Pelodiscus sinensis: one gene and its partners. The protein of the gene in region 3 interacts with the protein of the main gene of each other region in a biochemical or structural test. Links are inferred from orthologs where the notes say so. Each region holds a gene or a part of one and is shown on either strand. Other genes may lie near its edges. The genes, in order: GPBP1L1, ECHS1, LRRK1 and SNX9.

Region 1 (7,271 bases), on a different chromosome or scaffold from region 3:
CCCTGTCCCCCCACTGTGGCTCTGCAGTTTAAATGTAGTAAGACCGGGGCAGGCAGGTAGCTGGGATCCCCTGCAGACAGGGGCTGCTGCTGGAACAGCCTCCTGTCAGATGGCACTGCGGAGACAGTGCTGGGGAGAGAACTGGCTTTTAAGTTGGCTCCCGCTCCTCCCCTTGCTGCCTCTGATATGGGAGGAAATGTGATTAATCAACTACTCGATTACATCCTTAGTAGACATTTCTATCATAAGTAGGGAACTAATGCAATGAGATCATGAGAGCCAACAACACAGAGCAACTGAAAGGGAACAGGATTTTTAGACACTTTTAAAAACTTCTCTTTAAACATCTTGTTATATTTAATTCACTAAGATTTCTGATAAAACAGCCCTGCACAAAATTACTCTCCCTGTTGAAATTTCATGTTTTATAACAGGCCTGGGTAAAATACGGCCCATGGGCCGAATCCAGCCTACCCATCCAGGCTCCCCACTTGCCTTGCCCCATCTGCATGCCACTCAAAGCTGGCTGCGGGGTGGTTTTTCTTTAAAAACTGTTGAGTCCCGAGTGGTGGTGGGGGGAAGCTTTAGGAGCTGTTCCTGTCCCCAGCACAATCCCATTGGCCGATTTCTGGCCAGAAACTGGCCAATGGCAGCTTACCATTTCAATAACAGGCAGCCATGAAGCACAAGGGGCTCCAGAGCACATGGCTAGAGCCTGTGCTGGGATGGGGCAGGAAGGAAGGCTGATTCAGGAACAGGCTGCTGGCTGGTAAATCTCCTGGCCAGTCCAGTCTGGCACCCCAGTTCCTCCCTTCCCCAACCCTCTGCCTCCCCTATTGTCCCCCTACTCCACATACCCAATTCCTCTGCCCCCCTCTTGTATCCCAATTCCCTGCCCTATGTCACAATCCAACCCCCTGCATGCCAGTCCAGTGTCCCAGGTCACAACTGGCTCCTTCACCCAAACTCCTTCCCTTGCTTCAAGTTTCCTTCTGCACCCAAACTCCATCCCAGAGCCTGCACCTCCTCTATTAACATCATGGAAAAGTGCAGCCCTTGACCACTTCCACATTCTTGGAGTGGCCCCCCCATCAAAAATGATTGCCAACCCCTGAGATAAAAGAAAGTCTGTGTTAATTGTTAAGGTGAAGGCCCTCTTACAAAAACTGACATTTTTGAAGGTGTAGGGGAAGCAGCACAACACCTTTCTGCCTTCTTTATATTCAATCAAAAGACAGCAGCTACATAACTTTTAAAAAATACTTTGCAGATTCTGGCCTAATAGTATGGAGACCCTGTCATCACCATCATGTTGCAGCTGTTTCAATGAAAAGGAATTTTGTGGTGCTTATATGATCCATACTGTCCCTTTAAGTTCTGACCATAGTTACACCCCATGAAATCCCACCAACTTCACTAAGATTATGGAGCCATAACAGAAGGAAGGATTTGGCCCTTTAATATTCTTAGCTGTCAAGTACCACTGAAAAAACATATCAGTAAGCCTAATAAATCAATGTAGGTGAGCTGAGGTCTAACGCCATGCAAAAGTCAGGGAAAAAATCATTGACTAACTTTAAACATTAGAAAAGTTCCTTTGGAAAACACTAAATCTGATAAAAATGAAGCCTCAGTCTGCTGTAAAATATGAGCCAACTGTGTTTTATACTATACCCAAAATTATTTGTCGTCTTATTTTGTAAAAAGCTATTTCAGGATAAAATAATGCATTCAAAACTTACATTTAAAGGTATTTGGAAACAACATCGCTGTACAAGGTGAAACATTTTTGCTTAGCAGAAGGCCCTATGGGATGAAGAAAAAAATGTTAGGAGATGTCATTTAATGACAGCTATACGAAGTAGACTATCCAAGTTTAGAGCATGTCTAGTATAAGTTACTACAACAATTTATTTTCCATATTATATTAGAGTAAGAGTCAGAACCATTTTGTTTTATAAATTAGAGGAAGCAGATGGAGACTATGACTTTTTTTAAATCACTATACAGCTAATAACATTTTTGTCTGTATTCTAGCCAACTAATTATATTTAACTTTTACAGGGTTGTTTTCAAATCACTTTACAAGTTAAGGCCATTATCTTGTAATGCTGTTTTTGGGGAGGTTTTTTTGTTTTTGTTTTCCAAATCAAGGCCAAAGTATATCTCAAGGCACCCATGAAGTAGGTAAATGTCTCCATTTTACAGTATAAATGGTTTGTGGAGGCCATACAGGTGGTTGATGGCACAGCTGGATTTAGAATTCCTTTTCCCAGCCCCAAATTGAATCCACTAATCCTACCCCCCAAAATCCTCTAAAGGTTGGAAGTTTCTATAGTATCCACTGTTCCCTTAAGAACACAGAGGTGATGCCGTGATTGGATAAAAGGATGTTTGAAATGGGTCCACGGTGTATTACAGAAGTAGCTTGAAGTTCCCAGCAAGCCTGGCCCCCGCTGGAGAAAGGAAGAGTTTACAAGCTGAATAACCAACCCGGCCAAAGGAAGACTCCTGGAGGAGAAAATCAGTCACTTGCCCAGAGAGCCTGTGGCAGAGCGTTCCAGGAAAGCAAGCCCTGTTTGCACAGGCAGAGCCGCTCCTCTCTTTGGGGCGCCCAACACAACCCCCCCCCCCCCCACCTCCAGCTGCCTCCGGGGGGATCACTCACCTGCCCCAGGCAGCTTCCCGTGCTGCAGACAGGCTGCAGCATCCGGCAGGAGGGGCAGGCTTCCAGTGTGCGCTGGGTATAGAGCCCCAGCCCGGAACAACACGGGCCGGCCGCTCTAGTTCCGCTTTGGCTGCGAAACAGCGACTCCAACTCCCCAGACGTGTCTGTTTTAGTTTCCTGGCGTGACCAAAATCCCCCTTTGCCCTGGCGCTCAGCAGTCAGGAGGGTGGGAGTGGCAGGGTTAACAGGCATCAAGTCTAACGGGAGGAGAAATTGCATTACAGAAATACAAGGGTGTCTCTCCCCTATTGAAAAAGTCTGATTGCGGGCAGTTTATGCTGAACGTATCTTAGGCAGTGTAAGTCTTCCCACCGAGGGGCCATCAGCGCTGCCAAACGTTCAAAAAGCAAGGCTCCTTCCACCCCCTCCAAAAAGAAATCAAGGAACAGGGAAGCCACATGCATATGTGCAGGATCAGAGCTGGGGTGGGCCTGGTGGGTGCCACTGAAGGCGACACCCCCGCTTTGTAGTCTCACTTATTTAAATGAAGCAAAATACCCCAGACTAACACGGCTAAATTTCTATCATTATTTAAATGAAACCTGCATGCAGTCCTGAGTAAGCAGAACGCATGTAGCATGCAGTAGTCAAACCCCACCTTTGCAGCTGCAGCTACAAGCACACATGCTTTTACATGTTCAGAAGACTACCCGGACGTTGACTAACTAGTTAATTGATTGGAAAAACAATGTGGATGAGGTAACATTTTTATTGGACCAATTTCTGCTGATGAGAGAGACAAGCTTCTGAAGCACATAGTATTCTTCCTTCTTAACGGTTGTACTGATGTTTCTTTTAGGCTTGCAGCAGGAGCACCCACCAATGGGGAAGTCACTTGTCTTGCATCTTTTTCCTGGAACAGTTCCTCTGAATGTCTAGTCCTTGCTGGGCCTGATCGCTTTACAGCGGGTCCGGTGAAGATTAGCGCAGGTTTGCAGAACAGGTTAGGGGTGGAGAATAGCACTAAACATTACGGCAGCAGACAAGGAATCCTCCTGGCCCTGCAACTGCATGTTGCAGGAAGCATTTCTGGGGCGTCACTGCTCTGCTTGTGGGTGGACTGTGAAGCTTCTCGTGCTGAATTTAAAGCCATTGCTGCCAATTGTTTCCACTGCTGCCGCCTGCCTGGCTCGCTGAGGAAATGTCTGTTGAGCAGGAAAGGTTGATTTGAAATTCCACTCCCAAAGCCTGCCTGTCTGCTCTGTGTCACTGTTTGTCTGGATTTCCTCCGTGCTGGGGAGGGGAGGAGCACACGTTTGCTTTCTAGGATTACTTTACTTCCTTCCTTTCACTTTAAGGGATGAAGAGGCGGGCGCTGCTGGGGGGGGGACGGGGGGACGGAAGGGGACTCCAAGTCCCAGCATGCAGTGCGGCCGCGGCCCCCTCACAAGAGGTGAAGCAGGTAGCGCAGTGCATGCTGGAACTTGGAGTCCCGCACGGGGAGTACGGCGGCAAGCCCCCTCCCTCCCGCGACCCTATGACAGATACAAACAGAGCGGAGCGCGAGCCGCCTGGACAAGTGGGAGGGGGGCGGGGGCGCGCGCGCGCGCGGAGAGGGAGGCGCGCGCCAGCCTCGCGCTGCGGAGTCACCGCCCCGCCCCCGGCCGCACCGGGCCTAGGGAGCGTCCCGCGAGAGAGGTCTCGAGCCGCGAGGAGCCAGGCGCGCGGCCGGGCCGCGCCAGGTGGGTGTGTCTCCCACGCGCCAGCCCCTCCCCTCCGGCCCCCGGCCGGGCAGGGCCGGGCAGCCATTTTGGGCAGAGCTTTGTTATGGTTGTGGGGCCGCGGGAGCAGCGCCGGGCCTGGCCGGTGAGTGGGGGCCCCGCGCGGGACGCGCCGCGGGCGGCAGCCGGACCCGACAGCGAGCCGGGAACGGCCGGGCCCGTGAGCGGAGCCGCTCCGGGGAGGCTCGTAGCGAGCCCGGCCTGTGCTGCGGGCTCGGGGCCCCGCTGGCGGCCGAGCAGCCGCTGAGGGGGCTGGAAGCGCGAGTGGGGGATACGGCCGGGCCGGGGAGCGGGGGGGCCGCTGTGTGAGGAGCGGGGGGGGGAGGGGCAGGAGCGGGGGGGCCGCTGTGTGAGGAGCGGGGGGGGGAGGGGCAGGAGCGGGGGGGCCGCTGTGTGAGGAGCGGGGGGGAGGGGCAGGAGCGGGGGGGCCGCTGTGTGAGGAGCGGGGGGGGGCCGCTGTGTTAGGTCGCGGGGGGGGAGGGGCAGGAGCGGGGGGGCCGCTGTGTGAGGAGCGGGGGGAGGGGCAGGAGCGGGGGGGCCGCTGTGTGAGGAGCGGGGGGGGGCCGCTGTGTTAGGTCGCGGGGGGGGAGGGGCAGGAGCGGGGGGGCCGCTGTGTGAGGAGCCGGGGGGGGAGGGGCAGGAGCGGGGGGGCCGCTGTGTGAGGAGCCGGGGGGGGAGGGGCAGGAGCGGGGGGGCCGCTGTGTGAGGAGCCGGGGGGGGAGGGGCAGGAGCGGGGGGGCCGCTGTGTGAGGAGCCGGGGGGGGAGGGGCAGGAGCGGGGGGGCCGCTGTGTGAGGAGCCGGGGGGGAGGGGCAGGAGCGGGGGGGCCGCTGTGTGAGGAGCCGGGGGGGGAGGGGCAGGAGCGGGGGGGCCGCTGTGTGAGGAGCCGGGGGGGGAGGGGCAGGAGCGGGGGGGCCGCTGTGTGAGGAGCGGGGGGGCCGCTGTGTGAGGAGCGGGGGGGAGGGGCAGGAGTGGGGGGCCGCTGTGTGAGGAGCCGGGGGGGGAGGGGCAGGAGCGGGGGGGCCGCTGTGTGAGGAGCGGGGGGGAGGGGCAGGAGCGGGGGGCCGCTGTGTGAGGAGCCGGGGGGGGAGGGGCAGGAGCGGGGGGCCGCTGTGTGAGGAGGGGGGGCAGAGCTGAGGGACGGAGTGCGAGGAGCAGGCCGGGGGGGGGGGACCCAGGGATTTGGCTGAGGGAGCAGCCAGGGTGATTGAGGTTTGAGGGGGGAAGCGGGGGGGGGGGGAAGGGACAGGAGCGGGGGGGCCTGTGAGGGGAGGGTTACCGGATAGCTCATTTCTCTTTCACTTCATAAAGTATAAACATTTCGAAAGGGGCTGATGTGGAACAAGCAGATTGTCTTCCGAGATACTTGAAAAGATACTGCTTAGGCAGGATAAAAGCTAATCATTGGGTAACGAGCAGCTCTTGCTTGTGGGAGAGCCAGTATCTGTAGCAGCCTCCTTGCTTGAGAAAAGCAGATATGCAGTAACTCACAACAAAGATTTTGTTTACGTTGAAAGTTTTCAGCAGCCTCCTGGACTTGATGGTTTACAGTCTGGAGGCAAAGTTTGCATTTTATGTTTTTCTCTCCATCACTGTTTTGGGATCCTTTTGTGCTATTGGAAGCCTGTTGAAAGTAATGTTAGGAACATTGTGGTGTCATGAAATAGACAAGTGGCCTTTTGAGCATGGCCTGGATGTTTGCAATGTGAATTTAAAAAATGTATAGGAGGGAAGTGTAACCTCTTGAGAAAACATAAAACAGTTTTGCCATTAAATTTTCCAGTTTAACAGTGCTGTTCTCATGTTTCTTATACTAGTCAAGTGAGAAACATTGATTTCTGTGCATATACCCTGTCCTCAGAGCTAAACCCCCTGAGGCTCAGATGTGAGACAAACTCAGAATAAGATATAATTGCAGGTAAAGTCATCTGTGTCAAAGCCAAGACTCAGCATTTTGGTTACTCAACATTAGAAAATATTAAGTGTCTGCTGGTTAGTGAATTTGGGTGTGAAATTAGTTATGTGCTGCAAAGGTGTGTTTTTTAAAGTTATGACTTAAAAATGAATCCTGTTGCATAATAAGCCATATGAATTGAATCTTGATTTTATATTTTTGGAGATTTCATATATTTCTGGTAGCTTTTCTATGGTCATTTTAATCAACTTTGTGCTTTTTTTTTTTTTAAAGAAAAATCTACCAACATTACATGCTTTGCTTTATAAACTACTATACCAGCAGGAAATGGGTGTGTATAGCAGTTCCTAAAGGACTACCAGGTGATATCCTATTACATTTAGTAATTGCATTGTAAATACATTTACTTTTTAAAAGTAAAACTGTAAGTGGAAAATAGATCCCCCTTTTTTTCATCAGTTACAAGATAGCAATTTTAGTTTCCTTTGGTTAGTCATTCTTCCAAATGTAGAAAATATTTAACTTGGAACCATAAACCATCTAAATTTTTGTAATCCAGTTTACATTTGGACAAGCCCCTGAATGGGTTGATGTTCTTAAATCAGTTTTTAAAATGGCTTATACTTCTCTTAAATATGTAAGGAAGCTAAAACCAAGTTGATGATAACTGCTATGAGAATGTCCACACATGCAACAGTCTAAATCTGTTTTTAAATTACCATTATTTACATCAAGTTTGTGTGTAGGCAAGTTCTAATTATCGAATAGTGATAAGAGTAATCTGAAAAATTCCTCACTTTTTTTTTTAAATGAACATGGCAGTCTAGGTCCCTCTCACCAGTAATGTTCCAGTTAACAGAATTATGCTAGGAGTACTAAGTGTTCTAAAGACTAGCTGAAGTTGGGAA
Region 2 (7,049 bases), on a different chromosome or scaffold from region 3:
CATGAGCAATATTTTTCTGTAAGGCCCTGCGTATCAGCCCAGCTCGTATCGCACAGCCCTCTCCCCCGGTCAGTATTGTCAGCTCGGGTGCCCAGTTGTCCTGCCCATTTTACTTCCATTTCTTCTTCTCCTCTCACCCCCGCACACACTTCCTGTATTCCAATCTGCCAGGCCAAGACACTACCCGTCAGGGCTGCATGGAAATCTCTCCTGAAGCCTCATTTCTCACATGCGTCCGTCTGTGGACACTGTATTTTCGTTGGGGCACGAGCTGTTGTTGCTTGTGCCTTGTACTAGGACAGGTAACGGGTGTGAGCTGCCCAGGGCAACACAACCAATGCCCACTTGGACGAAGCTGGAGGGGTCTGCGAAAGACTCAGCACACCCTGAGTGCTCGAGAACTGAAATTAGCATTCCTGAGACTGCCAGAGCCCAGCCCGGCCGGGGTCTGTCTCCCTCTGGGCAAACAAAACAGCCCCTTATTTTACTATCCTCCTCCCCATAGAACCGGTGGGGGAGGAGGTTTGGGCCTGGGATACAGGTTTCCTTCTCCAGAGGAGGGATATAAAATCCCATGTACTCAGTTAATGGATTAACTGTTGTGTTTAATTGGTTCACTGGTTAAGCGGGAGCTTGTGGGCGAGGGGCTGGGCGCAGGCCGAGTAACCCCCCACCTGCAGGGCTCCTGACCACAGAGGGCTGCGGATGAACTGGTTACCTGGTACTCATTCACATCCCTACTCCACAGCAGCATGGCTGGTCCCTTCTAGGGCTATCAGATTCGTTGACCGGTTAAAGAATTAAAGGGGAGGGGCAGGCTGGAGTGGGGGGCAGGCTGGGCGACGGCGTCTCTAGTCCCTTCAACATGCCCTGAATTAACTGAGAAAAGAACTGAATGTGGAGTCACCCTGAGCCCTGCTGGCCTGGCTTTTGACAGCACCCGTGGGAGCTGTCTGTGCCAGGCGAGGGTACGCCCAGGGGACACCCTGGAACCAGGCTCCAGCCCGGACAGCTGCCAGGGGCCGTCCTGAGCGCACAAGGCCTCAGAACGCAAAGCGCTTCGGGTACAAGGAGGGCCCCGGAGCTCCCCGTCAGTGGAGCCACTGCAGCTGCTCAGTCAGGACTGGGGCACAGGCCTGGCCTCCTGCCCAAGGGAGGGGGCAGGCTGCCCGTCCAGTCCCATCCCCTCTCCCCCGCCAGCTGAGGGGAGACAGGGCAGTGGGCGCAGCCCCCCAGAGCAAGGCAGCGCTGGGCAGCAAGGCGCGACCGGGTCGCAGGCGCAGTGCAGGGCTCCAGGCCGGAGAACTTTGCCCTCTGCTTTCGGGCAGCAACAGCTCCCGAGGCGGCCACACACGCAGGGCCTGAGCAAACTTCCAGCCCCTGAGCTCCCAGCGTGGCCCAGCCCCCCGGGTGCTCCCCCAGACCTACTGCCAGGAGCCCCCAGGCCGCAGCTCACACAGGCATGGGGCAGTGCAGGGAGCCAGCTCTGTTGGGCAGCGCCCTCTCCTGGGGGGGCTGAGGGAGCGTCCCCACCAAAGCAGCCCCAGACCTAGAGGGGCTCCCCACACCACCCAGCAATGGGGAGCCAGCAGGCAGGGGCAGCAGGCTCCAGGGTGGGGAGTCAGTGGGCTGAGCAGCCTGCAGGGAACTGAGTCACCCCCTGCACCCCAGCCCCCACTGTCCTCCAGCCACCCCGTACCCCAGCCCCCACTGTCCTCCAGCCCCCCATCCTCCAGCCCCCCTGTACCCCAGCCCCCACTGTCCTCCAGCCCCCCCGTACCCCAGCCCCCCCCGTACCCCAGCCCCCACTGTCCTCCAGCCCCCCATCCTCCAGCTCCCCCGCACCTCAGCCCCCACTGTCCTCCAGCCCCCCTGCACCCCAGCCCCCACTGTCCTCCAGCCCCACTATCCTCCAGCTCCCCCGCACCCCAGTCCCCACTGTCCTCCAGCCCCCCTGCACCCCAGTCCCCACTGTCCTCCAGCCCCCCTATCCTTCAGCCCCCACTGTCCTCCAGCCCCCCTGCACCCCAATCCCCACTGTCCTCCAGCCCCCCATCCTCCAGCTCCTCCGCACCCCAGCCCCCCTATCCTCCAGCCCCCCTGCACCCCAGTCCCCACTGTCCTCCAGCCCCCCTGCACCCCAGTCCCCACTGTCCTCCAGCTCCCCCGCACCGCAGCCCCCACTGTCCTCCAGCCCCCCATCCTCCAGCTCCCCTGCACCCCAGCCCCCCTATCCTCCAGCCCCCACTGTCCTCCAGCTCCCCTGCACCCCAGCCCCCACTGTCCTCCAGCCCCCCATCCTCCAGCTCCCCCGCACCCCAGCCCCCCTATCCTCCAGCTCCCCTGCACCCCAGCCCCCACTGTCCTCCAGCCCCCCATCCTCCAGCCCCCCTGCACCCCAGCCCCCCATCCTCCAGCTCCCCTGCACCCCAGCCCCCCATCCTCCAGCCCCCACTGTCCTCCAGCTCCCCTGCACCCCAGCCCCCACTGTCCTCCAGCCCCCCATCCTCCAGCTCCCCCGCACCCCAGCCCCCCATCCTCCAGCCCCCCTGCACCCCAGTCCCCACTGTCCTCCAGCCCCCCTGCACCCCAGCCCCCCATCCTCCAGCCCCCCTGCACCCCAGCCCCCCATCCTCCAGCTCCCCCGCACCCCAGCCCCCCATCCTCCAGCCCCCCTGCACCCCAGCCCCCACTGTCCTCCAGCCCCCCTGCACCCCAGCCCTCTTATCTCCAGCCCCCCCCGCACATCAGCCCCCTTATCTCCTGCCCGCACCCCAGCCCCCCTATCCTCCAACCCCCCCCGCACCCCAGCCCCCCTGCCCCCCGGACAGCGGCCCGGCCCAGCAGCCGCCGCTCACCGGCCGAGCAGGGCCGAGCCGGGGCTCGCAGCAGCAGCAGGCGGGCCCGGGCCGGGCAGAGCAGCGCGCGCAGAGGGACAGCCATGGCGGAGCGGAGCCGAGCCACGGGGCCTGGAGCACCCGAGCTCCGCCCCTGCGCGTCACGCCCCGCCCCCCAGAGCCTTCATCTGCATAGCTCCGTCTATCCCCCGCCCACAGCCTTCATTTGCATGGCTCCGCCCAAAGCCCTCATCTGCATAGCTCCGCCTATCCCCGCCCCCCAGAGCCTTCATCTGCATAGCTCCGCCCAAAGCCCTCATCTGCATAGCTCCGTCTATCCCCGCCCCCCAGAGCCTTCATCTGCATAGCTACGCCCAAAGCCCTCATCTGCATAGCTCCGTCTATCCCCGCCCCCCAGAGCCTTCATCTGCATAGCTCCGCCCAAAGCCCTCATCTGCATATTGATAGAAATGTAGCCCTGTTAGTCTGGTGTAGCTGAAACAAAAAACAGGACTATGTAGCACTTTAAAGACTAACAAGATGGTTTATTAGGTGATGAGCTTTCGTGGGCCAGACCCACTTCCTCAGATCAAATAGTGGAAGAAAATTGTCACAACCATAGATACCAAAGGATACAATTTAAAAAAATGAACACACATGAAAAGGACAAATCACATTTCAGAACAGAAGGGAGATGGGGAGGGGGAGGTAAATATCTGTGAGCTAATGATATTAGAGGTGATAATCGGGGAAGCTATCTTTGTAATGAGTAAGGTAATTAGAGTCTTTGTTCAAACCTAAGCATAAAGTGTCGAATTTGAGCATGAATGACAGTTCAGAGGATTCTCTTTCAAGTGTATTCTTAAAAGGCTTTTGAAGCAGGATACAGGTAATCAAGTCGTTGAGACAGTGTCCTTTCTGGTTGAAATGGCAAGGAACTGTTTTTTCTTTGTGATCCTGTCTAATATCTGTTTTGTGGGCATTGATCCTTTGGCGAAGTGTCTGAGACGTTTGTCCAATGTACATAGCAGACGGACACTTTTGGCACATGATAACATAAATTATATTTCTTGCGCAGGAATTTACCTCCCCCCCCCCATCCCCCTTCTGTTCTGAAATTTGATTTGTCCTTTTCATATGTGTTCATTTTTTAAAATTGTATCCTTTGGTATATATGGTTGTGAAAATTTTCTTCCACTATTTGATCTGAGGTGGGTCTGGCCCACGAAAGCTCATCACCTAATAAACCATCTTGTTAGTCTTTAAAGTGCTACATAGTCCTGTTTTTTGTCTCATCTGCATAGCTCCATCTATCCCCCGCCCAGAGCCTTCATTTGCATAGCCCCGCCCAATATGGGTAACCCCGCCCCAGTGCTCAACCTGTGGGTGCGGTCAGGGGAGGAGGAGACTCAGGGGGCGTGGCCAGCAGTGGCTTCAGAGACACCGGGAGGATGGGGGCAGTGGGTGGGTTGAGGGGAATATGGGTGGGCAGTGGGTAGGCTGAGGGGAGTGGGTAGGACCATGGGTTGTGGACGTACATTGTGGTGTAAGAATGACTTAACAGTGTGACACTGTTGCAAAAAAAGCAAACATGCCTCTGGGCTGCATTAATAGGAGTGCTGGGTTCAGTTTTGGGCACCACATTTCAAGACAGATGTGAAGAAACTGGAGAAGGTCCAGAGAAGAGCAACAAAAATGATGAAAGGTCCAGAGAACATGAGCTGTGAGGCAAGGTTGATGGAATTGGGCTTGTTTCGTTTGCAAAAGAAGACTGAGAGGGGAGGTGATCGTGGTTTCCAGGTATCTATAAAGATGTCCCGGGGAAGATGGGAGGAAATTGTTCTCCTTGGCCTCTGCTGATAGGACTAGAAGCAATGGGCAGCAAGGGAGGTTTAGGTTGGACATTAGGAAAAACTTCCTACCTGTCAGGGTGGTGAAACTCTGGAATAAATTGCCCAGGGAGGTTGTGGAATCCCCATCACTGGAGATATTTAAGAGCAGGGTTAAATCAACCTGTCAGGGTTGATCTAGATGGTGCGTGGTCCTGCCATGAGGGCAGGGGACTGGACTTGATGATTTCTCGAGGTCCCTTCCTGTTCTAGTGCTCTGTGACTCTGTGATTCTATGAAGTGTCAGTGTGGCTCGTTTCTTGGTGTCTGAGGTGCTGTGAGATGCTGCAGGCTCCCTGCTAGCCGGGCCAGTCACAGTGGGGTGGCCTGTACTAACCCAGCCCTGGCTAAGCCAGCGTGCTAACTCCTGACAGGAGGCTGGGCCCTTCCCAGGTCTGCTGGGCTCTTGAGCTGCCTTTCTCTGCCTCAGTTGGCCGGGAGCAGGGCATTCTGGCTTCGCCCTGGGGCAGAGCATTGAAATTCACCTCGGTCACGGCCACCTGGACCTGGGCCTGCCCAGCCAATAAACAGCCACACACCCACTCAATCCTTCTGAACCCTCTGGGGCAGCACAGCTGGGAGGCCTTGGCTCTCCTAGGGCAGCACCACCCAGCTCTGGTCCCCCGCAGCACCTGCCCACTGCAGACAGCTGTTTATTAGCCCCTCACCGCACTCTCTGGCTGCCAGGGAGTGAGGGGTCGGCCGCCCTTGTCTTGACGCAGCCATAGCACCGCGGTCCCTGCTGGGCCAACGTCCGGCGCCACGCCTAGATTCTCCAGCTTCTTTGTGGGTTGGGCCGCCTGTGAAATCCCACCCAATGACTTCAGTTCTGATGCCCTGTTTTCAGGGCTGAGACGTGACCTATTTCTATTGGGCCCTGGCCATCTGAGCCCCGTAGATGGCGCCCGCTGGTTAGCAAATCTCTGACCTGCACTTCCAAGGTTTTCTTGTTTTCTTTATTTTAAGGACTGTATTTGTCTACTGACCCCTCCTAGTACATGGGGAAATCTCCCCTTGCTTGCCCCATTTCTTTTGGTATTCCCAAGTTCCACTCTGATGAAGTGCTTCTCTCTTTCAATATTCTTCCTCCTCCAGGAGTCATAGCAATTCGTGTCACTCCTCTAATGTGACAATCGTTTGTAAAGGAAACACCCTTTCTATTGCCTCGGAAGGAAAGGGACAGAGGTTGTGCATTCAGGGACCACGTAGCCATCTTTCAGGCTTGCAGCAGCGCAAGAGGTGTTCTGCTGAAGGAACAAGACAGGTGAATCCCATAGAGAGACAGCGTGCGCACCCCTGCCAGCAGTATTACAGGCGGCAGAGTCCTTGCAGGGTAGCCACGCGGTGCTTAGAACACAGAGGCAAGGCAGCCTCATAACCAAGCTCTCCACACGCAGCAGCTGAGAGCCGGCTGCTGAGACACATCAGGCAGGTGGAGGTCCATGGCTTGGGGCGCACGATGCGCTGGGGAATGCATCCGTCACCGGAACAAACAGGGCAAACTCCGGCGGCCGAGTGGAGGAATTTTCCATCTCTTCTGTGATTCTATAAATAACAACTCCACCCGCTCTGCGTGGGCACGTGCAGAGCCCTGCTCACATATGTCCCCCAAACAGAGGCTTGCACGTGTGTGCCGGCACCCCACCGCCCATCTTCACGCATGTACCCACCCCCGTCTGCATGCACTCATCCGTGTACTCACCCTCCCCGGCATGCAAGCCTCCCCACACACGTGTGCACATGAACGCGTGCCCCTGCACACACCAGCATCCATGCACACCAGGATAAAGAGAGCCTCTAGGCCCATGGGATGGGGCTGTTGGTCTCTCTGCCCAGCATGGTGTGCTGGCTGTCCCTGTACGATGGCTGGGCTGCTGCAAGGCCTGGGCACAGCAGACCCCAAAGCCCAGGCTGGGCGCACAGGTCATGCCAGGCCCCTGCGGCAACCCCCTTTGGGCAGCGTTCCTGAGCCCCCCTCGCCATTGGGAGGGGGCCCTAGTAGTAGCAGGAGGAAGCCAAGGAAACATGCAGGAAAGACGTACTCAGGTCTGTCTCCTCTCCACCCCCCGCCAGCCTGCACACCCCCTCCCCATCCTCTCCTCCCCCGAGGGCTCCCCAGCTCACTGCCCCCTCTAATCCCAATGGCTTGACACACGTTGCCTAGAAAACACAGGGCCCTGCCATCACATCGTGCAGTGTAATCCAGCCGTGCCCCAGATATAGACGCCAATCTTCCTCGGCACCTCTGGCACTGTGACAGGGGGTGGGGGTGGGGGGGAGGCTCCCGTGGGAACTAAGGGGTATCACTGAAAGCAGAGCCCAT
Region 3 (7,197 bases):
TTTTTCACCCAAAGTTCTTAAAACACTTCATAAACATTCATTAGGCCTCACAATACTCCTGTGACTATCCTGTATCATACCCATTTGTATCATACTCCTGTATCATACATTGAGGCATATAGAGGTGCAATGACTTGCCCAAGATTATTCATCAAGTCAATAGGAGACTCCGGAATATTATCTTGAGTTCTTTGCCCAAACAACGGCTTTCAATACAATGTGATGCCACATTATAGGCCAGGTGTCAGGAGGGTAATCACAGTAGGAAGCATCATGGAGCATGAAGGTGGATGAAGCAGTCACTGGTGCAAACCAACTGTGGGTTCATATCAGGACATTGTCACACCCAGGTGAGGTATTGATAACATACCTACCAATGCAAGGAGAGAATGTGGCTCTTGGCATTCTGTTAGGGCAAAATCCCTGCAAAATAACAATCCATCTTTGGTCTTCATATAATGGCAATGTATCCTCAGCTGTCTTATGTCACCAGTACCTCTGTGCAGAAGAAAAAAATAGTGCCATGTTATTTCCACAGAATCAGAGGTCTGTCTAGTCTAGCTCCCTGCAACTTGCTAGCAGCCACTAATACCACTCATAACATTTAATAAAAGTAGACAGAGTGAAAAGTAAAGCACCATGTGCCTATTTAAATAATGACTGAAACATACAAAAAATAACAGAAGTTGGAACCAGAAGTGAGTTTGTATTCAATGTCAATCCTTTGCACCTACTGCATTCTCCATTGGATTTCCACCTTTCTCCTAATTCCCATGTGACTAAATCAATTGTCACAATACCATGACATTGCTCTGTATCTTTCAACTTAAATCACTCAGAAGACTTTTTAAAGTGCTCTTCAAGTGACATGTGTCAAAATGAGGAATCTACCTCAAGTTTTGGGAAAAGTGGTAATGCATTTGTACACTATTCCACAGGTCATAGCAGCAGAGACAGAGAAAGCTAATGGTCAGTGCAAGAACTCTTGGGTTCTGTTCCCCCTCTGATATGCATTGTATGACCTTAGCAAATCACATAAATGTTGTATTCCTGAGTTTTCAAATCTGCAGTGTAGTTATATTATTTATCTACCTCCAGACATATAGTAACATTTGATTAATTACTATTTATGAAGCACTCTGAAGTGACCAGTGAGAGAGTTCTATATAGTGGAAAGTAAAGTAATAATAATATGCACACTATAAAAGTGAAGTGCTTCTATTCTGGAGCCGAAGGGTACGTCTACACAACACCCTTACCTCGAAATAAGCTACGCAATTTGCACTACGCAAATTGCATAGCTTATTTCATACTTATTTCGAAACAGCTTATTTTGAAATTTGTCGCTGTCTACACAGCACCAAATTTCAAAATAAAGCGCTATTACGAAATGTCCCTTAACCCTCATGCAATGAGGTTTACAGAGATGTCGGAATAGCGAGTCCATTATATTTCGATATAATGGGCTTACTCTTAAGACGTGGAATAGTTATTTCGGGATACTGAAATAGCTCCTCAGTATAGATGTAGCCTCAGAGTGCTTCCTGATGGCTGTTGGAATGGTTATTGAACAAAAGGAAGCTTTTCCTTAACCTACGTTAGCTTTATTTCCCTTCTACCACCAGCTTTCATGAAAAGACAACAGCTTCCTGCTTATGGCTTATTTAACCCAAACATTTCCTTTCCCAAACATTAGGCTCTATTAAAAAAAACCCAAACAACCCAAACATATCTATAGAAATGTTTTCTTTTCGTGATGCTCTTCTCACCTCTAATTTTTCCTGAGCAGCAGCTTGAGATGGACCCTGAGTTTGTAAACACATATTCATGTATTTAACTTTACTCACACAAGCAATCCCAGGGATACCAATGGAACTTTTACATGAGCAAAGTTAACCACATGCTTACATTACCATCAGAATAAATAGTTACAAATAAATTAGAGCTTTAACATTCTGATGAGAGCAGGTGAGGAAATGATTTCCCCTCTCCTGAAAAACTATTTTGGCAAAAAAAAAATCTTCAACTTATTTTTTTTTTAAACTTTAAAAAAAGTTGGGGGGAGGGTGTTTCAACAAAAAACCTGAAAACTTTCTACACCAATATTTTGTCATGAAAATGGACTTTGTCCAAAAAGCCACTTTCGCTGAAAATGGATATCACTGAAAAAATGGTCAACCAGCTCTAACTCTGCAGAACAAAGGTAAGACAAGGGGTTACCATCCCAACAGAGTCCCTTTGGCTGGGGATTGCCAAAGAGCAGCAGCAATGTGAGTTAGGTACCCGCTAATCATCCAAACCCACCCACTGCTCGGTTTTCCCATCCTGTTCCCTTGTTTTAGCCCTTTGCCCTCTTCACTCCCACGCGTTTTTCTTCTTCTTTGTCCCCCATCATTAGTGTGTGTCCTGGACTTAGCAAATCCTCCCCACAGGCTGGAGGAGGGTCCTTCGTGGACCCCGACAGGATCCAAACACACCTCGCCCAAGTGCCCGGCGCTGAGCAGCTCCAAGCCTCGAGAGGAACCTTGGGCTGCCCGGGGGAGTGACACCAGAGGGCTGGCAAAGTCAGGGGGCAGAGGGGGCCCTGGCAAGCAGCAGCCCCCCCCCCCGCCCCAGAACCAGGCGGGGGAACAAACACCCCTTTTCCCTAGAGCACCAGACCCTCCTTCCGCCAGCCCGCGCTCCACAAGGCTCCCGCCGGCAGGCAGGGGTGAGTCTGCGGCCCCCGGCCCGGGAGGGGGGCAGGGCCCGGGCCGTGCACCCCCGCGCTGGGGGCCCCGGCTAGCCCGGGGGGGGGGGCCTGCCACCCTCAGGCACAAGGGACGCGGCGGGGAGCCCCCCCGCCCAGCCCCGGTACCTCGCGCGCGGGGGGTCCCTGCCTCGGGAGCCTCTCGGTGGGGCGCGGAGCCGCCTCCTGCGCCGCCGGCCACCCGGGCTCGAGCTGGCGGCAGCGGCGCCGGAGCGGGCGGGAGGGCGCGGAACGGGGCGGGGCGCAGCCTGACAGGCCGGGGCACTTCCTCAATCCCGGGAGGGGCGGGGGGCGGGGAATGGGGAGGGGGGGCGGCAATGGGGTGTGTGGGGGGAGGGGAAGGGTGAAAGAGTGAGGGGAAGGGGAGGAGAAGGCGGAGTGGGGGTGGAAATGTGAGGGGGAGGAAAATGGGGATGGGGAGGAGAAAGGGAGGGGGAGGGGAGATGAGACGTGGGAGGGGGAGGAGAGATGGGTGAGAGTGGGGGTGGCAATGGGTTGTGTGAGGGGAGGGGAAGGGTGAAAGTGAGGGGAAGGGGAGGAGAAGGCGGAGTGGGAATGTGAGGGGGAGGAAAATGGGGATGGGGAGGAGAAGGGGAGGGGAGAGGGAGGGCACATGGGACATGGAGGTGGGAGGGGAAGGAGAGATGGGTGAGAGTGGGGGTGGCAATGGGTTGTGTGAGGGGAGGGGAAGGGTGAAAGTGAGAGGAAGGGGAGGAGAAGGCGGAGTGGGAGTGGGAATGTGAGGGAGAGGAAAATGGGGATGGGGAGGAGAAATGGAGGGGAGGGGAGGGAGAGGGGAGATGAGACATGGGAGTGGGAGGGGGAGGAGAGATGGGTGAGAGTGGGGGTGACAATGGGGTGTGTGGGGGGAGAGGAAGGGTGAAAGAGTGAGGGGAGGGGGAGGAAAATGGGGATGGGGAGGAGAAATCGAGGTGAGGGGGGAGGGGATGACAATGGGGTGTGTGAGGGGAGGAAAAAGGGGAGTGAGGATGGGGAGGTGAAATGGGAGAAGGGGAGGGGGTGAGAGAGCAGGGGTGTAAGGGGAGAGGGGAAGGGTGAAGGAGTGAGGAGAGGAGAAGAGAAAAGGGGACTGTGGGTGGAAATGTGAGAGGAGAGGGAGAATGGGGATGGGAAGGAGAAATAGGAGGGAGGACAGGGGAGGGGGGAAGAGAAATGAGAGGGGTGGGGTGAGTGCTATGGAAGTAGGTGAGAAGAGAACTGGCAGGAGGAGGAGGAGGAGAGAGGGGGGTGTGGGTAAAGGCCAGAGGAGAGCTGAAGGGAGGGGGAGGGCTAGGTGAAGGGTGTGGAAGGGGTGTGAGGAGTAAGGATGTTAAGAGGTGGGTAATCCACCAATCATGTAGTTAATAACATTTTTAATCAACTACAGGATTAGTCGATAAGGGAAGGCTTCCTCAGTTCTGGCTCACACTAGGTCCCAGACCTACTTGCTACGGCTCTGCTGTTTAAATGTAGTAGGAGCCAGGCTGCCTGCACACCTGGCTCCTACATTTTAACTGCAGAGCTGCAGTGGCCCTTTATCAACTAATCATATACTCAATACAAATTGTATTGAGTACACAATTAGTAATTTACTCGCTACTTAACATCCTTAGTTTCTGCCTGTGGCCAGCCTGGGCTCATGGTGGTCAAAGGCTACTTTGCGGCAGCCTCCCCTGCCCTTCCCCCAACCTGCTGCCTCTAATAGAGGCAGCAGGGCGGGGGGAGGGAGGGAAAAGGTGGCCCCATGGAGAGGGTGCTGGAGGGAACCGATTTTTAAGCTGGTTCCTGATACAGAGGCAGCAAGGCAGGGGTGGGGGGAAGTGAGTAGTCAACTAGACTACTCACATCCCTAGTGAGGAGGAGCCAGCGTTCACAGCCTGTAGGAGTTTGTTAGGCAGGAGAGTGTTGGGCAGTAGGGGTGGAGACGTAAGAGGATAATGCAGACCAGTGGCTGTCAGCTTTTCCAGACTACTATACCCCTTTCAGGAGCCTGATTTGTCTTGTGTACTCCCAGGTTTTGCCTCATGAAACAATGACTTGCTCACAACATCATAAAAATACAAAAGAGTCGAGTCACTACAGATTAGGACTGAAACTTTACTGACATTATCATTCTTACCATTTATTTTGCTGTTCTCCCTCCTACCTTTTCTGAATCATTAATTCTTATTTCATGATCACTTTCACCCAAGTTGTCTCCCACTTTCAAGTTCTCAACTAGGGAGGATAGGACTGTAATTCAAAATGAGCTGGACAAACTAGAGAAATGGTCTGTAAAATAGGATGAAATTCAATAAAGACAAATGCAAAGTACTTCACTTAGGAAGGAACAAACAATTGCACACATACAAAATGTGAAATAACTGTCTGGGCAGGAGTATTGCAGATAAGGATTGAGGGGGCAATACAAGCTAAATGAGTCAACAGTGCAACACTGTTGCAAAAAAACCAAACATTATTCAGGGATGTATTAGCAGGAATGTTGTATGCAGGACACAAGAAGTAATCCTTGAGCTCTATTCCACATTTTTAGGCCACAGCTGGAGTATTGTGTCCAGTTCTGGGCACCACATTTCAGGAAAAATGTGGACATATTGGAAAAGTTCAGAGAAGAGCAACAAAAATAACTAAAGATCTAGAAAACATGGCCTATATGAAGGAAGACTGAAAGAAATAGGTTTGTTTGGTCTGAAAAAGAGAAGAATAAGGCGAGACATAACAGCTTTCAAGTATCTAAAAGGTGGTTATAAGGAGGAGTGAGAAAAATTACAGGCAGTCACCGGGTTACATGGATCCGACTTACATCGGATCCCTACTTACAGACGGGGTGAGGCAACCCCGCACTAGCTGCTTCCCCCCAGCAGACCAGGGAGACGCGGAGCGGCTTTTCTCAGCAGACACCTCAGTTTGAGAATAAAGGATTGAGGGAAGTGAGGTGTGGGAGAATAAAACTGAGCTCTGGAGAAATGTTTGGCTAGAGTTTCCCCTACAATATGTACCAGTTCCGACTTAAATACAAATTCAACTTAAGAACAAACCTACAGTCCCTATCTTGTACGTAACCCGAGGACTGCCTGTATTCTCCTTAACTCCAAGAAGCAATGGGATTACACTGCAGCAAGGAAGGTATAAGTTGGATATTAGGAAAAACTTCCTGTCAGGGTAGTTTTACACTGGAATAAACAGTTTACGGATGTTGTAGAGTCTCCATGATTGATGATTTTTAAGAGCAGAGTAGACAAACTCCTGTCAGGCACAGTCTAGTGCAGTGGCGGGCAATAATTTTTTACAAATTCTGCATGTTTACTCATGCAAAAATTTGTGAAGTAGCCCTGGGACCACCCTGGAAGGGGCGGGGCCTAAACAGGAAACACCCTGTGCTACTCGCAGGGCGGGAGGAGACTTTGCGTGCTCCCATGCCCCCAGACAATTAAGACCTGAGGTGCACGTGACGACTTCTCCGCTCTACCCCCGCCCTGCGAGCAGCACGTAGTGCCGCACACTGCTTGCAGGGCGAGGGCATAGCGGAAAAGGATTTGGGCACTCCCCCACCCCCAGGGCCTAATTGGCTTGGGGGTAGGGGAGCAGCAGGGCCTCCGTGGGCCGGATCCACCCACTTTGCAGGCCAAATCTAGCCCACAGAGGCCCTTTTGCCCACCCCTGGTCTAGCAGGTCCTGCCATGAGTGCAGGGGACTGGATTTGATGGCCTCAAGAGGTTCCTTCTAGTTCTATTTTTCTATCCTCTTCACTGTGTAGAGATAGAATAAGTTCAACCCTTTACTAGAGCTATCTTCAATGCTCATCTCCTCTTTCTTTTGCCTCTTCCTCCTTTATCGTTCTTTCCCAACTGGAGCTATCTGGAAGTTTTTATTTTTGGGAACATTTCAACCTATTTCTGGACCAGTTCTCTTTATTCCCCACATGGTGGTCTTTACTTTCTCCTCTCTCCTTTGGGCTTTCTTCTAGAATCACCAGGTGTCCATTATTGAACCGGTCAGTCCAGTAAACAGACTGAGAAAATACTGGACACATAAATGTCTGGTATTTTCTAATTAAGGAAGTTTTTCTGCTTTTCCTGGGCCTGGCTCAGCACCCAACGGAAGCCACTCAGGACACATGGCAATTAAAGGGGCTGGGACTGCATTTCTATCCAGGTCTCCCTGGTTACTCCCCGGTGCTTTTTAAAAACATTTTTGCTCAACAAATTTTCCCGTTTTTTTCTTTTTTGATTGACACATTTTTATCAAATTTTTGTCGAGTATTTTTTTTAACCCATCTGGCAACTCTTCTTCCTTCCACAGCCATTCGCTACCCCATCCAATCATTTGCATAAATCAGCACTCACAAGGCTTGGAAATGTTGCCAAATACATAAGCCCCGTGTGAGTGCTCTGGGTAACTGGAGTGCTAACAACCAGAGTACCTAGTCTTACTAGCCAAGATCCACA
Region 4 (7,803 bases), on a different chromosome or scaffold from region 3:
CTCAAAACAAAAAAGCCCACTTTTCAATTTGTAAATACTGAAAGTTAAAATAAAAAAGCAATACAAAAATTGTGCCTAAAAATTAATAAAAGAAGAATGAAAAATAATTGCTGCTCTTCTGCCCACAACATTAGTTAAATTAGGGACAACATGATCGGTCTTCTGTTTCTGAAGAAGTTTAAATCAGGGAGCTATTTAAAAAAAAAAAACGAGAGCACAACTCTCTACATTTATACAATTAAGTTAATTCTGTACCAGAAAAAAGTAACAATGGCTCTTCATAGCCTTCTTTAAATACAGTGCAGGACCTATTCCACATTGAAATGAACACGATTTGAACTGATTACCCCAATTGCAGAAGTACATATTTGCCAGAAGCAATGCAGTTTTCCCACAAATGACCACATGAAGTGCCCTTTGTGTCCATGGGCACACATATACACACTTAACGCAAGTTAGTCTATACCAAAAATATTAACACTGAGCCCAGTCCATCAACATTCTAAACCTCTGATACATATCAAACCCAATTTTAGGTGTAAGGATAAAAGTTTCAAAAACACCTATTTGATTTGTGATTTAGGCTTCTTATCTAAAGAGTACTGTGACTATAAAATATTATTAATACACTAAATTGGATATGTACAATATACAAATCTGTGACGTATTAAGAATCATATTATCACTATTTTATAGGAACATGGTCTACTACTAACACAAATGAACTTTCTAAGTTGCAGAACTAGTTTATGCAACCCAGCTGTGTCCCAAAAACATTGTTTCCAATACTGTGACATGGCACAATAAGTAGAACACTTGTTTTCTTTAAAGGTACTTTTGAACTTTAAAAAGTTAAAATAAAAAAATACTAATATAGCAAATAAATACTGTTGGAAACTTAGACTGGTTCCAGAAATGCAAAGCTCAATTACTACATTCATTTTCTAATAATATTCAGAAACAGCAAAAACTAATCTCATCATACATTTTAGAAACCATATACACAACTAAAACTCAGACATAACTCCAAATATTGCTAATTCACATGCTACAAAATAACATGGCAGAAGGAAAACAGTATTTTACATAATCTACAAAAAACAGAAAATTATTCAGAAGATACTTTTTTTATATATCAGTTTTTATAAGAGCAATTAGAGATTACAAGTGGCCGATTTATTAGTGGTATTCTTGTTTTATAAAGTGGAACACACACACAAATGCACCACTACAGGGTTTCCTAGTCTCCCGTACCAGACAACATTTCCACAAATGGCATCCGGTTCGTCCGATCAGGAAAGTTGGCAACCATAGCCATTAGAAGAGAATAAATGAATTTATCCTACTGCAATCAAACTCACTTGAAAAGATACCCTCGATATTTGGACATTATCAGGTGTATAAACCCTATTACACTATACACAAAAAACAAGCAATGCTGCCAAGCAAATACACAGAATCATAGTTCCATTGAGCAACTAAGTCTTGTGTTTGATGTTTTTGTAACACAAGTCATTGTATCACATACTAAAGCTATGTTTACACTTAAAATGCTGCAACAGCACTGCTGCAGTGTTCCTTCTGTCTACTGGGAGGTGTCTAAATCAAGGCTTAGGTCACCTTAATTGTGGGTCTTGGGATTTGAAAACCCTTGAGTAACTTAGCTGGTTAACCTAGGTCTCAGGTGTAGACCAGGCCTTAAGACCACAGTCATTTTCCTTCCTGACTGAATGGGAAGTATAGAAAAATACAGGACAGAATGCAAAGTTGAATGACATTCAGATCTCTAGAGATTGGTTCCACGAGGACTTTTTCCAAGGACTCTGAACAGTCACAACTACCACATATGTCAACAGGAGCTGCAGGCACTCAGCAACTCTCAAAAGTAAAGGCCCAAGTTTGTTTGCATGTTTTTTTTTCCCTTTCACAACTGTGAAATTAAAGAGATACGTGGGGCGTTCTTCGGCCCCCAAAGATTTATTTCTTTGTTTTACAATACCGAGTGTGAAGAGAAAGGTGTCCACGCCACTTCTTTGAAAGGTCAATGAAAAATGTGCTTGAATTTAAAAACACTCCCCCAAATATTCCCACCTAAACTATGCCACTACTGGCCACAACAGGAGACCCCAAACAAGACACCGCAATGAAACTGACCAATCTATCCAGACAGGATAAAATGCACACACCCACATCATAAACAGCGAGACACGGTTCAGCTCTTCCAGCTAGTATTAGTCTTCAGGTTAGGCGGCTGTGGTTTATTCGGCGCAGAGAGGGGTGTTTAAACGAGGTGCAGCTGCGGTTAGCACCTCAGGAAGGGGTCCCGTCCGCTCTGTGGGTTACACGGGGCCCGGGCCAGACGCTCGCTGTGGGGCAGCGGGACCCTACCGCCGCCTGCGGGCTCAGGTGACAGGCCGCCAAGAGCGGGCGGAGAAAAAGTTTTCTCTGTTAAAACTTTGCGACGCTGGAAACGCCTCTTCCCGCCTGGCAGGCCCGGGAGCGGGTCCAGGGCCCACGCCAGGCGCGGTCACACGCCCCCCGGGTGGGTGTCTCCTGGAGCGCCCGGCCCTGGCGGTTACACGCCGGGGGGGTTGGGGGGGGGAGGCCACCCCGGGACCTGCCCCCCTCCCCCTGCCCCGAGCCGCCCTCGGGGGGTTGCACCCCCACAGCGCCCTGGGGCCGCCCCCCGCCCCACAGGCGCCAGGGCCGGGCGCAGAGAAGCACCAGCCCCCCCCTCGCCCGTAGGGCCCCTGGGACTCGCCCTCGAGAGGGGGCGCCCCACGCCGCTCGCCCCACCCCCCCGCGGCCCGAAGCGAGCCGGGCCCCTCACCTTGGTGGCCATGGTGCTGCTGGCGCGGGGCTCCCGCCGCGCGTCTCTCCGGCCCGGAGCCGCCGCCGCCGCTGCTGGGCCGCAGCTACTCCCAGTCACAAAGCCACCGCCCCCTCCGGCCGCCGGGCTGCTCGGCACAACCGCGCCGCGCCGGCCGGGCAGGAGCTAATGTAGCACCAGGGCAGCGGCCCGGCCCCTCCCCGCTCGCGGCTCTCCTCTGCCCCCTCGCCTCTTTGTTCGTCCCGCTCTCCGCCCGTCTCGCTTCCCCAAACGCTCCCTGTGCCCCGGCGCACGCTGCTCGGCTGGGCGAGGGCAGAGGATTGGAATCAGAGAGGCGGCACGTGAGGTGCAAAGCCGGAGTTACTGCGGATTGACACCGATTTAATGGCAGAATTTGATCCTGACTATTTAGATTTGCCCCAACTCTCCTCACTCATTTGCCGTAAGCCTCAGTATTTTCTTTGGGTGCTTTGCATCTTAGGCAGTTTGTACAATCGCCCTAGTCACTTAAAATTTTCGGTTTTTAAGGGGGGGGAGTGTTAACATAATTTTTGCTTCAGCCCTTAATGTACTGCAGGGACTATTGGTAGATTCATTTGACACAGCTGACATATTTACCCTCCTACAAAAAGAGACCACCAATGCAAAAGTGAATGCATTTTTAAGCAACTCTTCCCATTGCCAAATATTTCCCAATGCAAATATTTTACTCTCAGATGAGGTGTTTTTTGTTTGTTTTTGCTTTTTCTATGAAAGTAGGTATCCTCCATTCAGTCTTGGAACAGTAATTTCAGAAACCTGGACCTCTAGGAAATGAATCTACTATCACATCAAGTTTCCTCTTGACTTCAGTCTTTTGATGTGTAATTTGTTTGTAAGCTGTGTGTCAGCTGGGCCTCAGCAAGCTGATAGTATTACAGTTACACATAAAAGACCAATCAGGCTTATTGTACTAGACACTATATATTATTATTTATTTATACTTCATGCCATCAGGTACATCTACATAGCCCACAGCAGCGAGCCCCCCAATCCCAGTTCACAGACTTAGGGTTCCACTGCTGATGTAAGCATATTAAAAGTAGCTGTATATATGTTGGAGTGGCAGCTCCGGCTCTGAAGCCCAAAGAGGAGGCTTCAGAGCCCAAACCAAAATGTCTATATGGCTCTTTTAGACATGGTAGCATATGCCCAAGTCTGTTGACCCCCGCTTGGGAGACTCACTGCTACAGCCTGTGTAGAAATACTCCAGGTATCTCAGTTACAGACTAGGACCCCATTGTGCTAGATGCTATACAAATAAAGAACCAAAAAGATAGGCTGTAAGCTCTTTGGGGCAGAGACTAAGGCCTGGTCTACGTGCTTAGGTGTGAAAAATTCACACCCCTGAGGGACATAGTTAATTTGACCTGGTACCTATAGGTCAATGGAAGACTTCTGTCAACCTAGCTACCATCTCTAAGAGGAACTGATGCAGTGCTGTGATGGAAAATCCCCATCGCTGTAGCAAGTGTCTATCCCACAATACTACAGTGGTGTACCTTCAGCTGTGCCACTGTAATACTTTTAGGCTGTGTCTAGACTGCATCCCTTTTCCGTAAAAGGAATGCAAATTAGACATATCACAATTGCAAATGAAGCGGGGATTTAAATCCCTCCTGCTTCATTAGCGTAAAAATAGCTGCCGCTTTTTTCCGGCTCGGAGCTTTGCCGGAAAAAAGCACCAGTCTGGATGCAGATCTTTCAGAAAATAAAGCCTTTTCCAAAAGATCCCTTATCCCTCATTTTAAGAGGGATCTTTCGGAAAAGGCTTTATTTTCTGAAAGATCCGCGTCTAGACTGGTGCTTTATTTCGGCAAAGCTCCGAGCTGGAAAAAAGCGGCAGCCATTTTTATGCTAATGAAGCGGGGGGGATTTAAATCCCCACTTCATTTGCAATTGCGATATGTCTAATTTGCATCCCTTTTACGGAAAAGGGATGCAGTCTAGACACAGCCTTAGTGTAGACATACAAGACAAGAGACCAAAGACAGGGCCTTCCCAAGGGGGGTGCAGGGCCTGATGTTATCCCCCCTCCACCAAGTGCTCTAGTCATAAGATGTGAAGCCTAGGGCAACCTCCCATCACAGACCCTGCCCCCTTTCTATCCGTTCCCTAAGCCCTGTCCCTTCTCCACCTCCTTTCCCCCTTATTTTCTCCTCCGAGCAATGTGGCCTGGGGAGCTTGGTGCGGCAGTAGTAGGGGTTGCCCCACCACCACCACCACCACATGGGTGGTGGGAGCTAGAATGTCCCAGTAGCTTGCTCTGCCCTGCCATGCCACCCTCCCAGCCTGCTGTGTCCCACTTCTCCGCAGCAGCAGGAAGCAGAGTGCAGCGGGCCAGGAGGGTGGCATAGCAGGGTGGAGCAGGTTGTAGGGGTACTCTGGCTCCTGCTGCTGTGTGGTGAGTGCAGGCAAGCCCTGCTGTCACCCCATGCCAAGCCCCTGTATATCCCAGGTCTTTCCCATCTATAGGATGGTTGGAGCGGCCACTGCAGGGCCCCCAAAAGCCTGGAACCCAGGTGGCCACCCCAATTCGTCCTATGAATGGCACAGCTCTGCAGACAGAAGCAGGAGGACAAGAAAACAGAGACAATACTAGTCAACATGACAGCTTATTGTCTCACTCTACAGGGTTACAGTAAAAGACAGTTCTTTTTCCAGTCAATGTATAGGCTAGGGAAAAGCTGCAATAGGGTGAAACAAATTGAGGGGGACAGAATATAATGGCTTTAATACAAACATATTTTGCATAGATTATCTATATGCCTAGTTTGCATAGATAGCTATTTGAGGGTGTATTTTGTTTGGGGTTTGACCAGTAGCAACATCTCAGCTTCAATCCAGTTTTTTAAAAAGTAGTGTAAATGTACAAATAGTCAATGAGTCAAGCATTATTAGTCCTAAAAATCATGTATAATACTGTGAAGCTACAAAACACCTTACATGCATATTTCTGTATCTGAAGTGCTTACAAGCTTCTTTTGCTATGGGTAACTTTTTCCACTAAGCCAGGCAATTTTAACAAAACAGAAAAACAGCATGCCCACAAGTCTTTTAACTTGGAAATGAAGTTGCAACTTTCCCCGCCTTTTATGTAGATAAAGTGAAATATATGGGGTTTTTTCTAGGTATCATATTGAACAGCAGCAATAAAGAACACATGTGGCTGCTGCAGAGCAGAGAAGCAGCTGTTTTACAACAAAAAATGCTGTGGTTGGTGCTACAGTAATAAGAACTGATTAATCTGAAAAATATTTAAACTCCATTTTGATTCTGTTTTTAAATTACTTTGACAAACCAGACAGATGTGCTAAGATGTGTGTATGTTCTAATTGTTTCATTCTAGAACAGTTCTTCAGAATGAACCTCTCATACATAGGAGGAACCTTTCCTCCTAACACTTCAGTGTTTCTCCACTTTGTTCTAAACATCTTGCTCTCTACCCCGATAGCTACTGAAACAACATTTATCTATTATCTTAGATACAAAACAAAGTAATAATTTGCCAGACCTCTTTACACATCTAAAATCTCATCTTTGACTCTAGACAATGTTCCTCCACAAGCTGATCTTAACAAGGAGGTTTATTAGACATGTGTACAGGCAATCAGGTTTTCCTTTGGGGTTTGCCCTCCCTCTCACAGGGGGAAGGAATATTTTGGGAAATTGGTGTCAATTGAGTCTTCCCATGATTATTTGCAGCCTAATAGCCATGTAGACAGAAATGTTTATATGAGGAACTTCCTGGTAGCTGCTCATGTCTACATTCTTATAGGATTTTTTTTATGTGCAGGGGAAATCACAATTCTCTGCCTATCTGAAACCTTCATTATAAGCTAACACAAAAGTCTTAGCACAAACCAACTGCCAATAGGAGACACCTAAAGTGATTTCTAAAACCTTTTGTATTGGTAAATTTTTTGCTGCCTAGCAAGAGTGCTGAGGACTCTCATCCTGATCATAAAAGATTTAACCATGTTCTTAGCTTTAAACGCTTCAGAGGGGTAGCCGAGTAAGTCTGTAACAGGAAAAACTTAACAAACAACAAATAGTCTAATAGCACCTTAAAGACTAACAAAACATGTAGATGGTATCATGAGCTTTCGTGGACATATGAGTAATCCCACTGATTTTAATGAGACTATTCATGTGCCTAAATATTTTGCTGGATAAAGGGAAAAGTACTCAGCACTTTCCTGAATCATGCTCATGTTTTCTATTTGATACATATGGCTTTATCTACTCAAAACCTGATTTGTATTTCTAAAGCCCCATGCCTCAAACTGAGGTATCAATGTGCATTTTAGAAATGAAAAGTCTCCTCTTCTGCATAAAAGCTATTAAGATAGAATTTATGTTGGGTTTTGTTATTGCCCCTCGATAGGGTTGCCAGATGGTTTCAACAAAAATACTAGACACACTTGACATTATAGCACAATCTACATTACATCCTATTTAGAAAATACCACATATTTATATCAGAGGGGTAGCCGTGTTAGTCTGAATCTGCAAAAGCGACGAGGAGTCCTGTGGCACCTTATAGACTAACTGAAGTGTAGGAGCATAAGCTTTCGTGGGCAAAGACCCACTTCATCTGACATGCATCTGACGAAGTGGGTCTTTGCCCACGAAAGCTTATGCTCCTACACTTCAGTTAGTCTATAAGGTGCCACAGGACTCCTCGTCGCTTTTGCAGATATTTATATTTTCTCAGTTTGTTTTCCGAACAGAAAGCTCAAATACCGGACTATCCAGTTCAAAACTAGGCACCTGGTAAATATGCACTTTTCATAGTAAATATGCACTCTTGTGGTTGAGTTTATTGAACTAAATTTTCCAGGGAAATAAGTGATCATTTCAGTAGAATCTAGTGAAGAAATGGACAATTTCACTAGAGAGGGCTTACTTAGTTAAATGAAGACCTCGTTGTC

The links.
Region 1: the proteins of LRRK1 (region 3) and GPBP1L1 form a complex in vitro, tested with the Homo sapiens proteins (2 studies listed by BioGRID and IntAct, with this or other methods). The link is inferred for Pelodiscus sinensis from reciprocal best matches to the Homo sapiens genes LRRK1 and GPBP1L1.
Region 2: the proteins of LRRK1 (region 3) and ECHS1 form a complex in vitro, tested with the Homo sapiens proteins (2 studies listed by BioGRID and IntAct, with this or other methods). The link is inferred for Pelodiscus sinensis from reciprocal best matches to the Homo sapiens genes LRRK1 and ECHS1.
Region 4: the proteins of LRRK1 (region 3) and SNX9 form a complex in vitro, tested with the Homo sapiens proteins (2 studies listed by BioGRID and IntAct, with this or other methods). The link is inferred for Pelodiscus sinensis from reciprocal best matches to the Homo sapiens genes LRRK1 and SNX9.

What each region holds. Positions count from the first base shown.
Region 1 is NC_134719.1:2,019,945-2,027,215, reverse strand, and holds the start of GPBP1L1 (vasculin-like protein 1), read left to right. Parts: upstream 1-4,259; 5' UTR 4,260-4,410; exon of another isoform or gene 4,411-4,534; intron 4,535-7,271. Other genes in the region: TMEM69 (transmembrane protein 69), read right to left, coding at 1,743-1,787. UniProt on the Homo sapiens protein: Possible transcription factor.
Region 2 is NC_134718.1:6,674,649-6,681,697, reverse strand, and holds the start of ECHS1 (enoyl-CoA hydratase, mitochondrial), read right to left. Parts: upstream 3,018-7,049; 5' UTR 2,944-3,017; coding exon 2,859-2,943; intron 1-2,858. UniProt on the Homo sapiens protein: Converts unsaturated trans-2-enoyl-CoA species ((2E)-enoyl-CoA) to the corresponding (3S)-3hydroxyacyl-CoA species through addition of a water molecule to the double bond.
Region 3 is NC_134724.1:7,440,033-7,447,229, forward strand, and holds the start of LRRK1 (leucine-rich repeat serine/threonine-protein kinase 1), read right to left. Parts: upstream 3,014-7,197; 5' UTR 2,858-3,013; intron 2,720-2,857; exon of another isoform or gene 2,478-2,719; intron 1,903-2,477; exon of another isoform or gene 1,770-1,902; intron 499-1,769; 5' UTR 371-498; intron 1-370.
Region 4 is NC_134713.1:112,089,634-112,097,436, reverse strand, and holds the start of SNX9 (sorting nexin-9), read right to left. Parts: upstream 3,011-7,803; 5' UTR 2,843-3,010; coding exon 2,831-2,842; intron 2,211-2,830; exon of another isoform or gene 2,196-2,210; coding exon of another isoform or gene 2,187-2,195; intron 1-2,186. UniProt on the Homo sapiens protein: Involved in endocytosis and intracellular vesicle trafficking, both during interphase and at the end of mitosis. Required for efficient progress through mitosis and cytokinesis. Required for normal formation of the cleavage furrow at the end of mitosis.